2 linked regions of the Xenopus tropicalis genome follow. The protein of the gene in region 1 interacts with the protein of each later gene in a biochemical or structural test. Links are inferred from orthologs where the notes say so. Each region holds a gene or a part of one and is shown on either strand. Other genes may lie near its edges.

Evidence for each region. The genes of interacting proteins can lie anywhere in the genome.
Region 2: the proteins of mis18bp1 (region 1) and mis18a form a complex in vitro, tested with the Homo sapiens proteins (2 studies listed by BioGRID). The link is inferred for Xenopus tropicalis from reciprocal best matches to the Homo sapiens genes MIS18BP1 and MIS18A.

Annotation. Positions count from the first base shown.
Region 1 is NC_030684.2:92,708,002-92,714,662, forward strand, and holds the end of mis18bp1 (mis18-binding protein 1), read right to left. Parts: intron 5,370-6,661; coding exon 5,215-5,369; intron 4,271-5,214; coding exon 4,125-4,270; intron 4,034-4,124; coding exon 3,946-4,033; intron 3,142-3,945; coding exon 3,087-3,141; intron 2,977-3,086; coding exon 2,864-2,976; 3' UTR 2,439-2,863; downstream 1-2,438. UniProt on the Homo sapiens protein: Required for recruitment of CENPA to centromeres and normal chromosome segregation during mitosis.
Region 2 is NC_030678.2:15,373,717-15,381,439, reverse strand, and holds the start of mis18a (protein Mis18-alpha), read right to left. Parts: upstream 4,379-7,723; 5' UTR 4,323-4,378; coding exon 4,121-4,322; intron 2,085-4,120; coding exon 2,018-2,084; intron 1,025-2,017; coding exon 902-1,024; intron 1-901. Other genes in the region: mrap (melanocortin-2 receptor accessory protein), read left to right, coding at 6,859-7,039, 7,528-7,624. UniProt on the Homo sapiens protein: Required for recruitment of CENPA to centromeres and normal chromosome segregation during mitosis.

The sequences.
Region 1 (6,661 bases):
GTGCGTGTATGGCCAGCTTAAGTCAGCTCCAACATAGCACACCACCCATCTGGGGGCCTGGCCTATTTACACTCTGCTTGCCTGGAGCCCCTAGGTGGTGGGCCTTACCACCTATGTACGTAGAATGGGGCCATGATCCACCTACTTGCCCCAAGACTTGCTCCTTGTAGCCCATGAATAAGACCACGGTAGTAGTAGAAAGTGGCCAGTGGTTTGAAAACACCCCCACCTTGATTCTGTAGAGAAATCGTTGTGCTTAATGGATGATAGAAGAGAATAAGCCAGAGATTGTCTTCTCAGGCTATAAAACAATAGCTAGAAATTTAGATAATTAATGACCACTTAACACACCGAATAATCTGCTCTACATGATAGGATGACAGTAGAATGCAATATATTATCACATTTTTTAAAACACAATTGCAAAACTTTTTGGATGAGCGTGTTCCTAAGAATGACCAATAATACTAGAAAATAACATTGTTGCATCAACAACATCATCTGCAATGCTCATTGAAGGGTTAGTGTTAGCGCTAAAGCCATGATTACTGGAAAGTGTTTCCTTATCCGGTTGTAGGGGGGGGGGGGGGGCTAGTGTGTAATTCAACTTGTTCTAAAATGTCATCAATATCATTATCCTTTAGCCAAATAGTCCTTATGTGTAGTGAATATTATAATAAAATCCCCTTTGTTTCCCAAATTGAATGGAGCTGAAATCACAGGAAGCTGGTTAGTACAGGTATAGGACCCATTATCCAGAATGCTCAGGACCAAGGGTATTCCGGATAAGGGGTCTTTCCGTAATTTGGATCTCCATACCTTAAGTCTGCTAAAAATCAGTAAAATATTAACCCCAACAGGATTGTTTTGCATCCAATAAGGATTATTTACATCTAAGTTGGGATCAAGTACAAGGTACTGTTTTATTATTACAGAGAAAAAGGAAATCAGTTTTAAAATTCTGAATTATTTGATTAAAATGGAGTCTATGGGAGATGGGCTTTCCGTAATTAGGAGCTTTCTGGATAATGGGTTTCTGGATAAGGGGTCCAATACCTGTAGCAGGAAGTAAGTTTTTATAAATGGCAATAAAGTGGTGCTAACACCTTTAAAGGAGCAGTGGGTTCCTGACACTGCGGTTCCTCTTGTTCTGTACTTGTAGGGGGACATAGCTCTGGCAGGAGGTATTGCTTTGTTTAGGTAGCACTTTTTCCTTTAAAGGGGAACTAACCCAAAATTGAAAATATAAGCTTCAGCTCACTTGAAATAAGCTTTCTAAATATAATGCTTTAAAATGCTGTACTATTGCTGTAATAATCTTCCCTAGATTCCATTCTGTATCTGTCTCTCTTCATGCAGAAGTCAGAGCCAGACTTTTCTCTAATACATCTGGTAGAAGAAATGATTCCCCCCCCCAAAAAGCTGCATTAGACCTAAATGTCAATTAAAATCTGACCCTGACTCCTGCATGAAGAAAAGCAGATTGCCGAGAGGGAGATAATGAATATATCAGGAATAGCAACATTTTTGATTATATTTCAAAAGTTTATTTTCATGAGATGAACCTTATATTAAGTTTACATAATATAGTTTACCTTTAGTTTCTGCACTTAATAAGGTGTTGTAACCTGTTGAAACTTATTCATTGTTTACAAACCATGGGTACGTGTAAATTAGCAATCCGCATGGATGGGCAAATACCATTGATCTATTGCTATTGAAGATATCACACAGCACTTGGCAGACTGTTCTCAGCAAGTTTTTAGGAATGCACCATGGCGCCTCCATACTGTCACAGCCTAAAAGTGGCAGTTGCCCCTGAATGCTGACACTTTTACTAAACTTTCAGCATTTATGACCTTTCCCACCGAGACCCACAAGCTGGACTAGGATAAGTATATATAGTGACGCCCTTGGGTGCTCAGTTGAGGTTCCCATGGTAGGTGACCCACCACAAAGCCTTTGTTTGACAACTGTGGAAATGTTAGTGTGTTTAGAACTCAGCAGATGCATCACTCGACTCAAAATTGGTGCATGTTTTTAACTCAATGCTATAATTCATTTAGAATCTACTTTAATAAGGCCATCATTCTGCACGTTACACAGTGTTGAATGAAATTTTACCCAGTGAAACTAGACATAACTGTTCAGGTAGTTTGCATTTGAATCTGACCTGCATGCTTGTTATTTTTCAATTCCTGACTTGGTGGCAAGTTTTGGTTGAATAAAAACAAGATTTACTACCAAATAAAGCCCCCTGTAAGCTGATAGTGTGCATAGAGGCTGCCTAATAGCCAATCTTAGCCCTTATTTGGCACCTCCATGAACTTTTATGATGCTTGTGTTGCTCTGCAAGTCTTTTTACATTTGACTGTGGCTCAAGAGTAAGAAAGGTTGGGGACCCCTGATATTATGGGATAACCTTAACCAACAGTATATATGAATAAATAAAATACACTTTTATTTAAAAAAGGGAAAAAAAAAAAACAGAAGCTTAAAGAAATTGCTGATATGTGCATAGATAAATATATTTAGACAAAAGGTGCAGGAAACTGGGGATTAAGGGTAAGTAAAACAATGAACAAATGACTATGCACACTTTAAAATGTATAATTTTTTTTTTATATACAGGGAACAGAAGTTCATTCCATAGCTGCCAATTTATTCAACAATTATTCCTAAAACATACACTGTTAGATAAATCCCAGCTGAACATTTTACATGTGTACAATGGTTGCTGCTTTTAAAAGGATAGAACATTTTTTTGTAGCTACTGAAATCAACAGTGTTCCAGTAGGCAGGATCAGCAATAAAATGCAGTTTGTTCCTGACAAGAAAAGTAGGGTTCAAATTGTCACTGTGCCTATGGAGAGTTAGAAAAATAAAAGTCGTCCTCTTCATCATCATCATCTGATACTGTTGGTTCATCTGTTCTAAAGAGTTTTCCAATGACTGATGTATCTTTGCAGCCTTTGTCTGATAGGGACAAAAATAAGCACATAATCATGAAGCATAAACACAGCCTTATTAACACACTGTGCACCCTAGGATGAATCTCTGCACCAATATAACAAATCTTTACGTACCTTTGCTCACTGTTGTTGCCCGTCGAGAAACTGGAGTGGCATATGAAGTACCAGCCTGAATATGGGGAAAAATGTAAAGTTTAGATCAGGGATCCCCAACCTTTTTTTACCTATGAGCCACATTCAAATGTAAAAAGAGTTGGAGAGCAACGCAAGCATGAAACATGTTCCTGGGGTTACAAATAGGGGTTCTGATTAGCCATTGGCAGCCTACATAAGGCTCTGTTTGGCAGTACAACTATGCAACCAAGACTTGCCCAAAAGCCAGGAATTCAAAAATAAGCACCTGTTTTGAGCAACATCCAAGGGACTGGTGAGCAACATGTTGCTCTCGAGCCACTGGTTTAGATTAAATAAAAAGTATTGCTAACCTCGCTCCTTGGTCTTGCACTCCTAAAAAATGCACGGCCTAAGGTAAGTTCTGCAGAGTTCAGAGACACTATTTTATCTATTATTCCCAGGGAAAGCCTGTGCCATGCTTGGCAGCACATGAGCAATACAAAGCCTTTTTAGCAACTTCTGTACCGCGCACACCTTCGTTCAACATGTGGAATCTCTAGAAAGAAGAACTGAAACAGGTGTCATTGTGTTCTAATAGGTCTAGAGACCAGGGGTATGCATGCACTTTTTATTATGCCAACAAGTGAGGATAATTTTCCCACACCAGACATGCCGGTTTGTGATATACTCCTAGTAATGATGTCTGTGCCACCTACATCCCCCAAACACATTTCATGCTAATGATAGGTCCAAAGGGGGCCAGCACCACAGGCTTACCGTACCTTAAGTGTGGGAGGCAGAACATTTATCATCTCACCCAGAAGAACACTAAAACTTAAGGGAACATGTAAACACTTACAGGTCTTTTATTTAATTTTCCCCATCCTGATAATGCACCTCCTTTGGTGTTTTTCTGCATTCTGTACACATATTTGTCATTGTTTGACCTGTATAAAGAACACAAAACATGAGAAAATGATTCAGTGGTTTGGGAGAGTGTGAATCTCATGTGAAGGTAGATGGAATCTAAAAGCTTACCTGTTTATGGACCCCAGCATTCCTGGGCTAATGTGCTCACACTGGGGGGTGTAAGCCAAGGGAAAAATACTTGAAGAAGGTGTTGTTGGGTCAGTGTTGGTCAGCTGGAAGACATCGTCTTCATGACTTGCTCTAAATGTTGGCAACTGTGTGTAAAAAGTACATAATGCAGAGTCAGCAATAGATGATTTATGGGAAGAACATTTCTTGTTGCTGAACTATATCTTTGGTAATCAAATGCTGCATAGGCTGCGGCATCACAAGTTATAGAGCGTGGGGACTTAAGGGGAAAAAAATGTGTTTTCTAGTACAGGTATGGGATCCCTTATGCGGAAACCAGTTATCCAGAAAGCTCTGAATTACGGAAAGCCCGTCTCCCATAGACTCCATTTTAATCAAATAATTCAGAATTTTAAAACTGATTTCCTTTTTCTATGTAATAATAAAACAGAACCTTGTAATTGATCCCAACTAAGATATAAATAATCCTTATTGGATGCAAAACAATCCTATTGGGTTTAATTAATGTTTTATTGATTTTTTAGTAGACTTAAGGTATGAAGATCCAAATTATGGAAAGACCCCATATCCGGAATACCCTTGGTCCCGAGCATTCTGGATAATGGGTCCTATACCTGTACTTACAAAAGTTTGCAAGAACCTGCAGCCCTGTCATTTTGATAGCAATGCTTCAAATGGTTGGAAGCAGATCACTGGCAGTAATAAAGTGTTTACAATAAGATTTTTTTCAAAATAAATAAATAAAAAGCCCAGCACCTAAAACCTGCTGAGCTTTTTATTTTATTTTTTTTAAAAATCTGCTCGGGGGAAGAAAAAAATGATCATCAGGCAGCTGAGATATTTGAATACATAAACTACACGTGTTCAGGAACTCGCATGTGGTTACAGTAATTGATTGCTTGAACATTAATAAATCTACCCTAAATAAGCACAACAATGCTGCTTTGTTATTGTAGTCCATCAATCTTTCTACAATCAGAGTCTGTACAATCAATAACTTACTAAGTGCCATTGTCCTTTGACCTGTTATAAGGAATAAGGCTAATTAGCAAAAGTGTGTTTCCCTTACCTTCACTCTCTTGGTCTGGAATGGTGTAGCAGTGAAAATGTCATCATGGTCATCCTTTGGAATTTGTTCCAGAAATTCTCTCATTTGCTGCTTCCTTTTGAGAGTTCCCACCTTGGCTGTTATTTTCACTAGCTTCTCCTCTGAGCCACTCCCTGCTACAGACAAAAGGCATCTTAAAGTGACTGAATGCTAAGTACCAGGCTGAGTGCCTACTGGGTAGGCAATGGGTATGGCTAAAATAGGCAATTCCACTAATTAGAAGGGGGGTCCAGATACTGACAAACCTTACAAAGCTTTCTCATGACTAGTAAACCAAACCAGATTATTGTTCTACTGGCCTATTCCTACTGCCTACTCAGACTGTAAGCTCTACGGGGCAGGGACCTCCTTCCTACTGTGTCTCATACCACATGGCACTTTATATATATATATATATATATATATATATATATATATATATATATATATATATATATATATATATATATTTATTGTATTTATTTATTATATCATTTGTCCTCCCCGTGTGTAATTTTGTATTCTGTAAGACTGTACAGCGATGCGTATCCTTGTGGCACTTTATAAATAGTTATACATACATACTGCCTTCAGATAGAAGAAACTGCACACTGCCCTCTACTGGACGTTGCACAGAAATTACTTGACAAAAAATTATTAGCACAAACTATATTTTATTAAACCATGGTGGGCTTTGTCTATGACTATTTTTTTTTTTATATTGTTTAATCATTTCTTTATATGCTATATTTTGCAAAGCAAGTGCATCGGTGCATGTTTATAAGTTCAATGAGAGCTCACCACAGTCCGTCATAGGGAAATTTACTGCTCTCTATTATGGAATATTTAAAGTAAAGTTGGCCATACACTGAAAGATTCACCTTGAGGTGGGCCATACTGGATTGATCTGATCGATCAGCCCTCAGGCCAAATGATTAGATCACAATGATGGGATGAAGGCCATCAGGGCGAGGACTGCATCAATGAGCAAATGTGCCCCTGCCCCAACAGGATTATTAAACCTGTCTGATGAACATCTGCCCAATCTTCAGCTGGATATCGGTCAGACAGGCCCATCTGACGGTCCCATACATGGGCTGATAAACTGCCAACTCTGTCTGTTGGCAGCTTTTATAAGTAAGATTAAGAGTTCACTATTTGATAAAAACACCTCAAAAATCCCTTTGAAATTAAGTGTGTGAAGAACTATGGCAAGACAGTTTTACTCTTTGATAAAATATACCCCAAATATGTCAAAGTCAGACCCAAAGAACAGAAAAGGATAAACAAAAACCTGCTTTCAACTTGACTACATTTACAAATCAGTTTACCATGAAAAATCTAAATTAATGCATATTTTTGGTTTTTGATTAGACAAAAATCATCTATTCTGCAGACGACTTCTTAAGTATTCTAGTATACCCAGACA
Region 2 (7,723 bases), on another chromosome or scaffold:
CCAGCTTCATTTACTTAAAGGGGTTGGTACCCCTCACAACAATAAGTAAACGTATGTGTTCTCGCCCATATTAAGAGGAGAATGGTGAGAAAAGTAAATCTATCGATTCCTATGTTTGTATAATATAGGAGAGATTTGGGGTGAACACTTAAATGACGGTTACCCCAACATTTTCCTATACCTGTAACCTTGTTATGAGCTAAGGGGTGGGAGCACTTAAAGGGAACTTGACCAAAAAGTCTGTAAACCCCTGCTTAGTACTATGTGTGCTTTGTACAGTGTCATCCCCATTAAAGGGGAACTGCACCCAAACACAACCTAAACTTTTGAAAAGTAAACAATTTCAAGCAACTTTGCAATATAAATTAATTACAAAATATAGATTGTAAGCTCTACGGGGCAGGGACCTCCATCCTCTTGTGTCTTTGACTCTTAACTTATTGCAACTATATCTTTTATTTATTTGTATTTATTGTTATACTTTGTATTTATCTATTATTATCTTATTAACCCCCTGTTTGTATGAATGTATCCTACTGTACAGCGCTGCGTATATAAGTAGCACTTTATAAATAAAAATATACATACATACAAATACGCAGCCTTTTCATGATGTTTAATGTAATAATATGGTTTGGAGCAGTTCCCTAAGCCCCGCCCCCTGTTCCCCTGCTGATCTGGCTGACTACTTTGTGACTCAAATAAAATGTAACAGTAGTCGCCTGTCCCTCAGCCTGCCTTCAGCCTGCCTCCTCCCAATCCCACAATCCCCTGCACACGTGATGTCAATAAGGAAAGGAACATCACAGTGCAATGCATTGTGGGTTATGTAGTTCCTGCATGCTGTCTGTAAGCTGTGGAGAAGGTACCATTACCTTGCCCTTACATGAGAGTCTCTTACCTGTCAACGGCATCGATATTAAGGGAGAACAAATCCCGTTTGAAGTCGAGGTGCTTGGGGGTGCATCTGTAGATCTTGCCCATGACAGAGGAGCAGCCGCCACAGGATACGGTTTCAAATGTACTAAGAGGATGAAAGCCCGGCATTAGCGTCTAAAACTGCTAAAACCTCTGAAACCACTACAAATAGAAAATGACTGAAATGAACAGAGGCGCAATCTGAGTAAATTTACATTCATTTATTTGTTGGGGTTTAGACCCCCTTTAAAGTGAAACTGATAATTAGCAGGATCTGTGTCCAGAACTTTTTTTGGCGAAGGTCAATCTGGATTCCGATAGCTTTCAGGCCTCCTACTCCTTCAGTGTGGAACATACATAGTGCTTAACCCCACAATCAAGATGGTTTGAGCCTCAGGGATCATGGGCAGGGAGAGAAAGTTCATATGGGGGTTCTGCACCCCTTCAGTTACCCCAAAAACATCATGTCTGTCTGCCTGTCGCTGAACACTGACGGACATCTGCTTCCTATTTCCTCTGTTATTCCCTGCGGGATGTATTGTTTACAAACACTGAAGCCCATGTAATTATCAGCTCAGGGGTAAGTGGGTTGGCCAAAGCCAGGGGCATTAGGAGGCAGGAAGGCAGCCATATCTAATACAATAAGGAGAAGACATCCAAGTACTGAAGTGATTTTCTAGCTGGGACTTCAGCACCTTAAGAGACTAGGGACAAAGTGTTTCAGTCATGCTGCAGGGCAATAGGATTTACGGATTTAACACACTGTAATGTCAGTGTCAGAATTGGCCTCTAACAAGTGTTGGGCGTAGGGAACGGAGGCAGATCCTGGGTAACATATCCATTAATCATAAAGAACTGCCCCAGAGTGGGCATCGCAGGAGGGGTAATTCACATGGCTAAATGAATAAAGGGAATGGATATAAGACATGTAAAGCCAACAATAATGGCTGATAATGAGAAGCAGGAGCCATAACAACAGGTATAAATGCTCCATCATTAGGTGGAGTCGCAACCTGATAGGCCCTACAGCCAATCAAAATCTGAATAGCCCTGCTTGGTTTCCATGGGGATGGGAATGCCACTAGAACAACATACTTACCAGCCATAGTCACTGGAAACCTTCGAGACGATCTGCACTTTATCCACCGAAACGTATTCAGATACAGCTGCAAGAGAACCACATGCCGATCAATTCAGTTTTTAAAAATAAGGAAAGAAAAATCAAAAGTCCCAATAGACCTTTAACAGGACATGATGCTGGTCACATGGTACACTCAGCGGTCGTTAAAGGGGACATACTGCGTGGAAAACAATATTGTGCCAATGAATTGTACTCATTAACTATAGAAGGAATGTACTTTAAAAAGTAGTGTTTCAAGTTGATTTACTAAAAATTTCTTTAAAAACCCCATTAGTCCCGCCCATCTGTTCCTCTGCTGCCTCCTTTCCCAGGCTGTGCGGGGGGGCCGGCAGCTCTCAGTACACTGCAGGACAGGAACCAATCAGCAGCCAGGCTGACCTGATAGGGAACTGAAGCCTGTCTTTGCTTTAAAGGAACAGTAACACCAAAAAATGAAAGTGTATAAAAGTAACTAAAATGTAATGTGCTGCTGCCCTGCACTGGTAAAAGTTGTGTGTTTACTTCAGAAAGTCTATAATTTATATAAATAAGCTGCTATGTAGCCATGGGGGCAGCCATTCAAAGGAGAAAAGGCACAGGCACATAGCAGATAACAGATAAAACACTATTGTATTCTACAGAGCTTATCTGTTATCTGCTATGTAACCTGTGCCTTTTCTCCTTTTTTCCAGCTTGAATGGCTGCCCCCGGGGCTACACAGCAGCTTATTATATAAATTATAGTAGTGTTACTGTAGCAAACACACCAGTTTTACCAGTGCAGGGCAACAGTGCATTATATTTTTATTACTTTAAAGCTCTTTCATTTTTTGGTGTTACTGTTCCTTTAATCCTATATGTCTCCTTTAAATTGCATACCCACATGGAGCCCCTCTAAGATCAGATGCAGCCCCTAGATTTTACAGACGCCACCCTGGAGTGTTTGAGTGCTCCCTGCAGATTGTATAGACACAAATAATTCTGTACACATGTATAGTGTCAACTAATGAACCCTCACACCTTCAATTACACATCAGCACAATATTGTCTGAGAAGTGCAAAGCTTTAATCCTTTTCTATTCTCTGCACTGCTTGCCTGACTACAGAAACAATGTAGCACAGGGGTCGGGAACCTTTTTGGCTGAGAGAGCCATAAACACCACGTTTTAAAATGTAATTCCGTGAGAGCCATACAATATGTTTAACCGCGGATGCTGCGGGGAAAGGTAGGGTGGATCCCAAGGATGCCGGATGCGGTGCAGAGGAGGGCGTGGCCTGCGCTCGGCGAATAGAAGACGTGTTCTAAGGCTTAGAATACTCTTCTACCTGCCGAGTGCAGGGGCAAGGTAGGGTGGGTGCAAAGGATGCCGGATGCAAAGCGGAGGAGGACATGGCCTACGCTTGGCGGATAGAAGACGCGTTCTAAGCCTTAGAACACGTCTTCTATCCGCCGAGCGCAGGCCACACCCTCCGTTATTTTTTTATTAAAGATTTGGCAGCGAGAGTCAGATGCAGCCATCAAAAGAGCCACATCTGGCTCCCGAGCCATAGGATCCCTACCCCTGCTGTAGCAGAACCATCTCTCCTCCAGCCAAAAGTTCCCATAATGCCTTGCATGCTTCTGAGCTCACCCTCTCCAGTCTGCTAATGGCAGAATATACAAGGCAATTTTGCAACAGGAGGCCGGGATGGAGGAGAGCTGACTAACCATATAAAACTCCAAAAAGCCAGCAGTCAGGACAAGCGTATTTTAGCCACTTGCTTTACAGCAATAAATAACTTTAAAATCATTAACATTGTCATTTAATGTGCAGGTAGGCAACTCCTATAATGAACTCTCTGCAATGCTTAGTAGGGCGTTAAAATGTCAAATATTAAATTAAATGTGTGGTCAAAAGAAAGAAACAAAGTGGGGTACTTGGTGACTTTCTGCTGCTGCTGCAGGTCTAGTATTAGGGACACTAATAGAACATGGTAGCACAGCGACGCCTAGTGGCAGAGCGCTAACACTGCACACAATAGAAACAGCAGAACCAGTAACCCCGCATAATAAAAACCAAGGTCCATTTTCCCCATTCAGCACCTTTCAGTAGTATTGTCTGCTCCCCCATGTCGCTGCCCATCCAGCTGTACGTGTCACCTATCGGCCTCTTGCAATGGCTGCAAAGAAACACGACCGGCGGATCATCCTGTGAATTAGATAGCTTCCCCGCGTTTTCATTTTCTCCCCCATAGGTACAATTGGCGGACATTAGGCTCGCATTCTTATCTGCCGCCATTTCCATTCAAGCGCAAACCGGAAATGACGTAGCGCACCGAGCAGCGCTCTGATTGGATAGTCTCCTGGAGTTGCCCGGACGTTTACGTTTCTTTATGGTGTTTGATAAAAAATACCCACAAAGACCAACCCATAGATATTGTGTGATGATTAAAGATTCCCTCATACAAAAGTTTTCCAAGAAAATGACCATTGTACCTATGCACTGTTATGTACCTCTTCAATAAACTTACCTGAGTAAAAAAAAAAAGATTCCCTCATGTTGTTGGGAGTATATTTATGGGGAACTTTTTATTTCTAAATGACACTGTTTACATAGCAAATAATTCCCTCTGCCATTTAAACTTTTATTCTTGAACCAACAAATGTATTTGTAGCTGTAATATTGGTGTGTAGGCGCCATCTCAGTGCCTTGTGCCTGAGTCTGAGCTTTCAGCCAGCGCTACACATTAGAACTGCTTTCAGCTAACCTATTGTTTCTCCTACTCCCATGTAACTGGAGGAGTCCCAAGCCGGACTTGGATTTCTTACTATTGAGTGCTATTCTGATACCTACTGGGAGCTGCTATCTTGCTCCCTTCCCATTGTTCTGCTGATCGCCTGCTGGAAGGGGAGGGGGGGGATATCACTCCAACTTGCAGCACAACCGTAAAGTGTGACTGAAGTTTATCAGAGCACAGGTCACATGGCTGTGGTACCCTGGGAAATGAAGAGTATGGCTAGCCCCATGGGAAATTTCAAAATTAAATATAAAAAATCTGTTTGTGTTTTTAAAAAACAGATTACAATGCAGGATTCTACTGGAGAAGCTCTATTAACTGATGGGTTTTGAAAAAAAATATATTTTCCCATTACAGTATTCCTTTAAAGCGTCCCACATCCATATTGGGAGTGACAAGCTGACAAGCTTTACCTAGGGTTGCAACCTGGCCTGTAAAAATGATGCTTGATGCCAATATTATTAATAGGCAAAAAGAGCAAATACAGTATATAGGAAGGTCAGTATTTTTTCCAGAAAAAAATTACAACTTTAGGTTTACCTTTTGAAGCCACTTCTGTCTCATTGGTCCCCCAGGTTGTCGATCAGGATGGGTGACACCTGCGATCTTGAGCTAGGGTTGTCACCTGGCTTGTATTTTACCAGTATAGCCGGTAAAACACCCGGCAAGGCCGGGAACAGTGCATTGCCGGTAAATGTGTAATATCTCTACATTTAGCCCCTGTGCCACCCACCTAAGCTTGTGACCCAAACCAACCTTTTGTCACCCCCCCCACTCTACTTTTAAACCACCTGTCGTTATCATAGCTCTGCCCCTTTTGACAGCATCCATATCCCTTGTCATGCTCCATTTACATCATGGCCCGTCCCATTTTGTCCCCACTCCCAGCCACCCATATTGCGTTCCACCTGCGTTGGGCACTTACATGCACCTGTGTTAATACAGCCCCATTAGAAAGAATGGGATGCAGGCCCGGACTGGCAATCTGTGGATTCTGGCAAATGCCAGAGGGGCTGCTGTAAGATGCCATAGACAGTCACTATTTAGTGGGGGGGGGGGGGGCCTGTTTGGGCCTCTGTGTACCTAAAATGCCAGGGCCTATTCTGAATCCCAGTCCAGTGGTGATGGGATGCGTCTCTTCCTGCACTCTCCTGCATTGGAACACATGAGAATGCCATAACAGGAACAAATACTCATGAGTAGGAGCCCTAAAAGGGCTTCAAAATAGATATAAACTGCTCTTACAGCCAAATAGGTGCCTCTTTTCTTAAGGCCAGGGCAGTAATAACCAAGGGTAACTTGAGAACAGAAACCAGGGAGGCTGCATGGGGTATTCTGCAGACACAAAATGCTTTCCTGCTGGCCTGGGCCTGTAAAATACAGGCAACCCTTGTGTTCACTAGGGTTTTTTAAGTGATTTTCTACAAATAATGGGTGGAATGGCCTGAAACCTGTAGGTTTTGACCAAAAATCTGGTGCATGTTTGGGCAAGTGATAGGCAGATTTACAGCAGGGTCTCTCCCAGTTTGCAATATATATACCAACCCCTGTCTCCATGCAGTTCATTGGGTCAGACACAGTTACTAAAATGGTCTCTAGGAGCAGATTGGGTGTGCCACGTGGCAAGCAGCACATTGGAATTACCAATTCACCCATCACTATCTTCCAAGCCTCTTCTATACCATTCTCCTCTCTGTGATGCTTTAAGTTGATTTGAGTTTGAATAGATTAAATCCCAGCCCTTTTTGTCAGATTTTGACAAATCTTTCGCTCTCAGCCGAACACTTAACCTTGGGTAAGTTCAAAACTCAATCTTTTTAGACTAAAAAGATATATTGTTTCCCTTTTTTATTGTTTCTTCTGCTAGGCATTTGTAGCGCACCCAGTCCTTCAATGAGCTAAGCTTGCATGTTTTCTTTAGATCCTTATCTATTCATACTGGGGGCCTGGGGCAGAGCCAATAAGCAGCCAGAAGTAAGGGGACGGATTGCTATACTCTGGTGATAAAATAAAAAACAGCTTATTCAGCTTGTGCTTATCCAGATGATAGGAGCTGCTAAGCCGTCACTCATACTCACTTGCACCCAGCTGGTAATATCTGGCACTAGCTCTGCTCACAATGCAATGATGGCCGACACCGGTAACGTTTCCTACACCTACGAAGACTACTACGATTATGAGGATTTCGCATCTTTCGATGAAAGTGAACCGAGAGCAAATAAATGTGAGTATGTGCCGTCTCCCCCTTAGGCTATTGCTATTTCTCTTATTTATGTTTCAACTAAAGAGACACAATAATTTCAAAAAGTGTTGTGTATTTGTGCCCGAAACATTGTGTAATAAGGTACAGCAGTTGTCTCTTACTTTATGGCTGAGATTCCTGCTATATTTGTAAAGGCATTCTGAATACAGAGGTCCAAGATTTTCATCAGTGCAGAGCAAAGCACAAGGGGGGGTGTAGGTGCTCCTAGAATGAGCACTAAGGGGTGCGCTTTTGTGTCCCTCCCCCCAGGTTGTACATGACCCCTATACAGGTTATACAGGCACTGCGACCCACCACACACCCAAAAACGGAACCAGCCATGACCCCAAATGGGAACATAATTGTAGGCTGTTCTAGAGCTAAGAAGCAGGATATTGTTGGTCAAGTTTCAGTTTGTTCTTATAGTGAAAACAAAGGTCCAACTGTGTCTTTATTTATCTCAATTCCAGATTCCATTGTCATTGCACTTTGGGTCGGCCTTGCAATGTTTGTTGTTTTTCTGTTCCTTATACTGCTGTACATGTCCAGGACTGTCGCCAGATCAAAGTAAGTAGCTATTAAAGGGTAACTGTTCTTGAATTCCCTGTGCATGTTCCTAACTATTATAAGAACAAAAACATTGACATTTAATGAATGTATATTGAA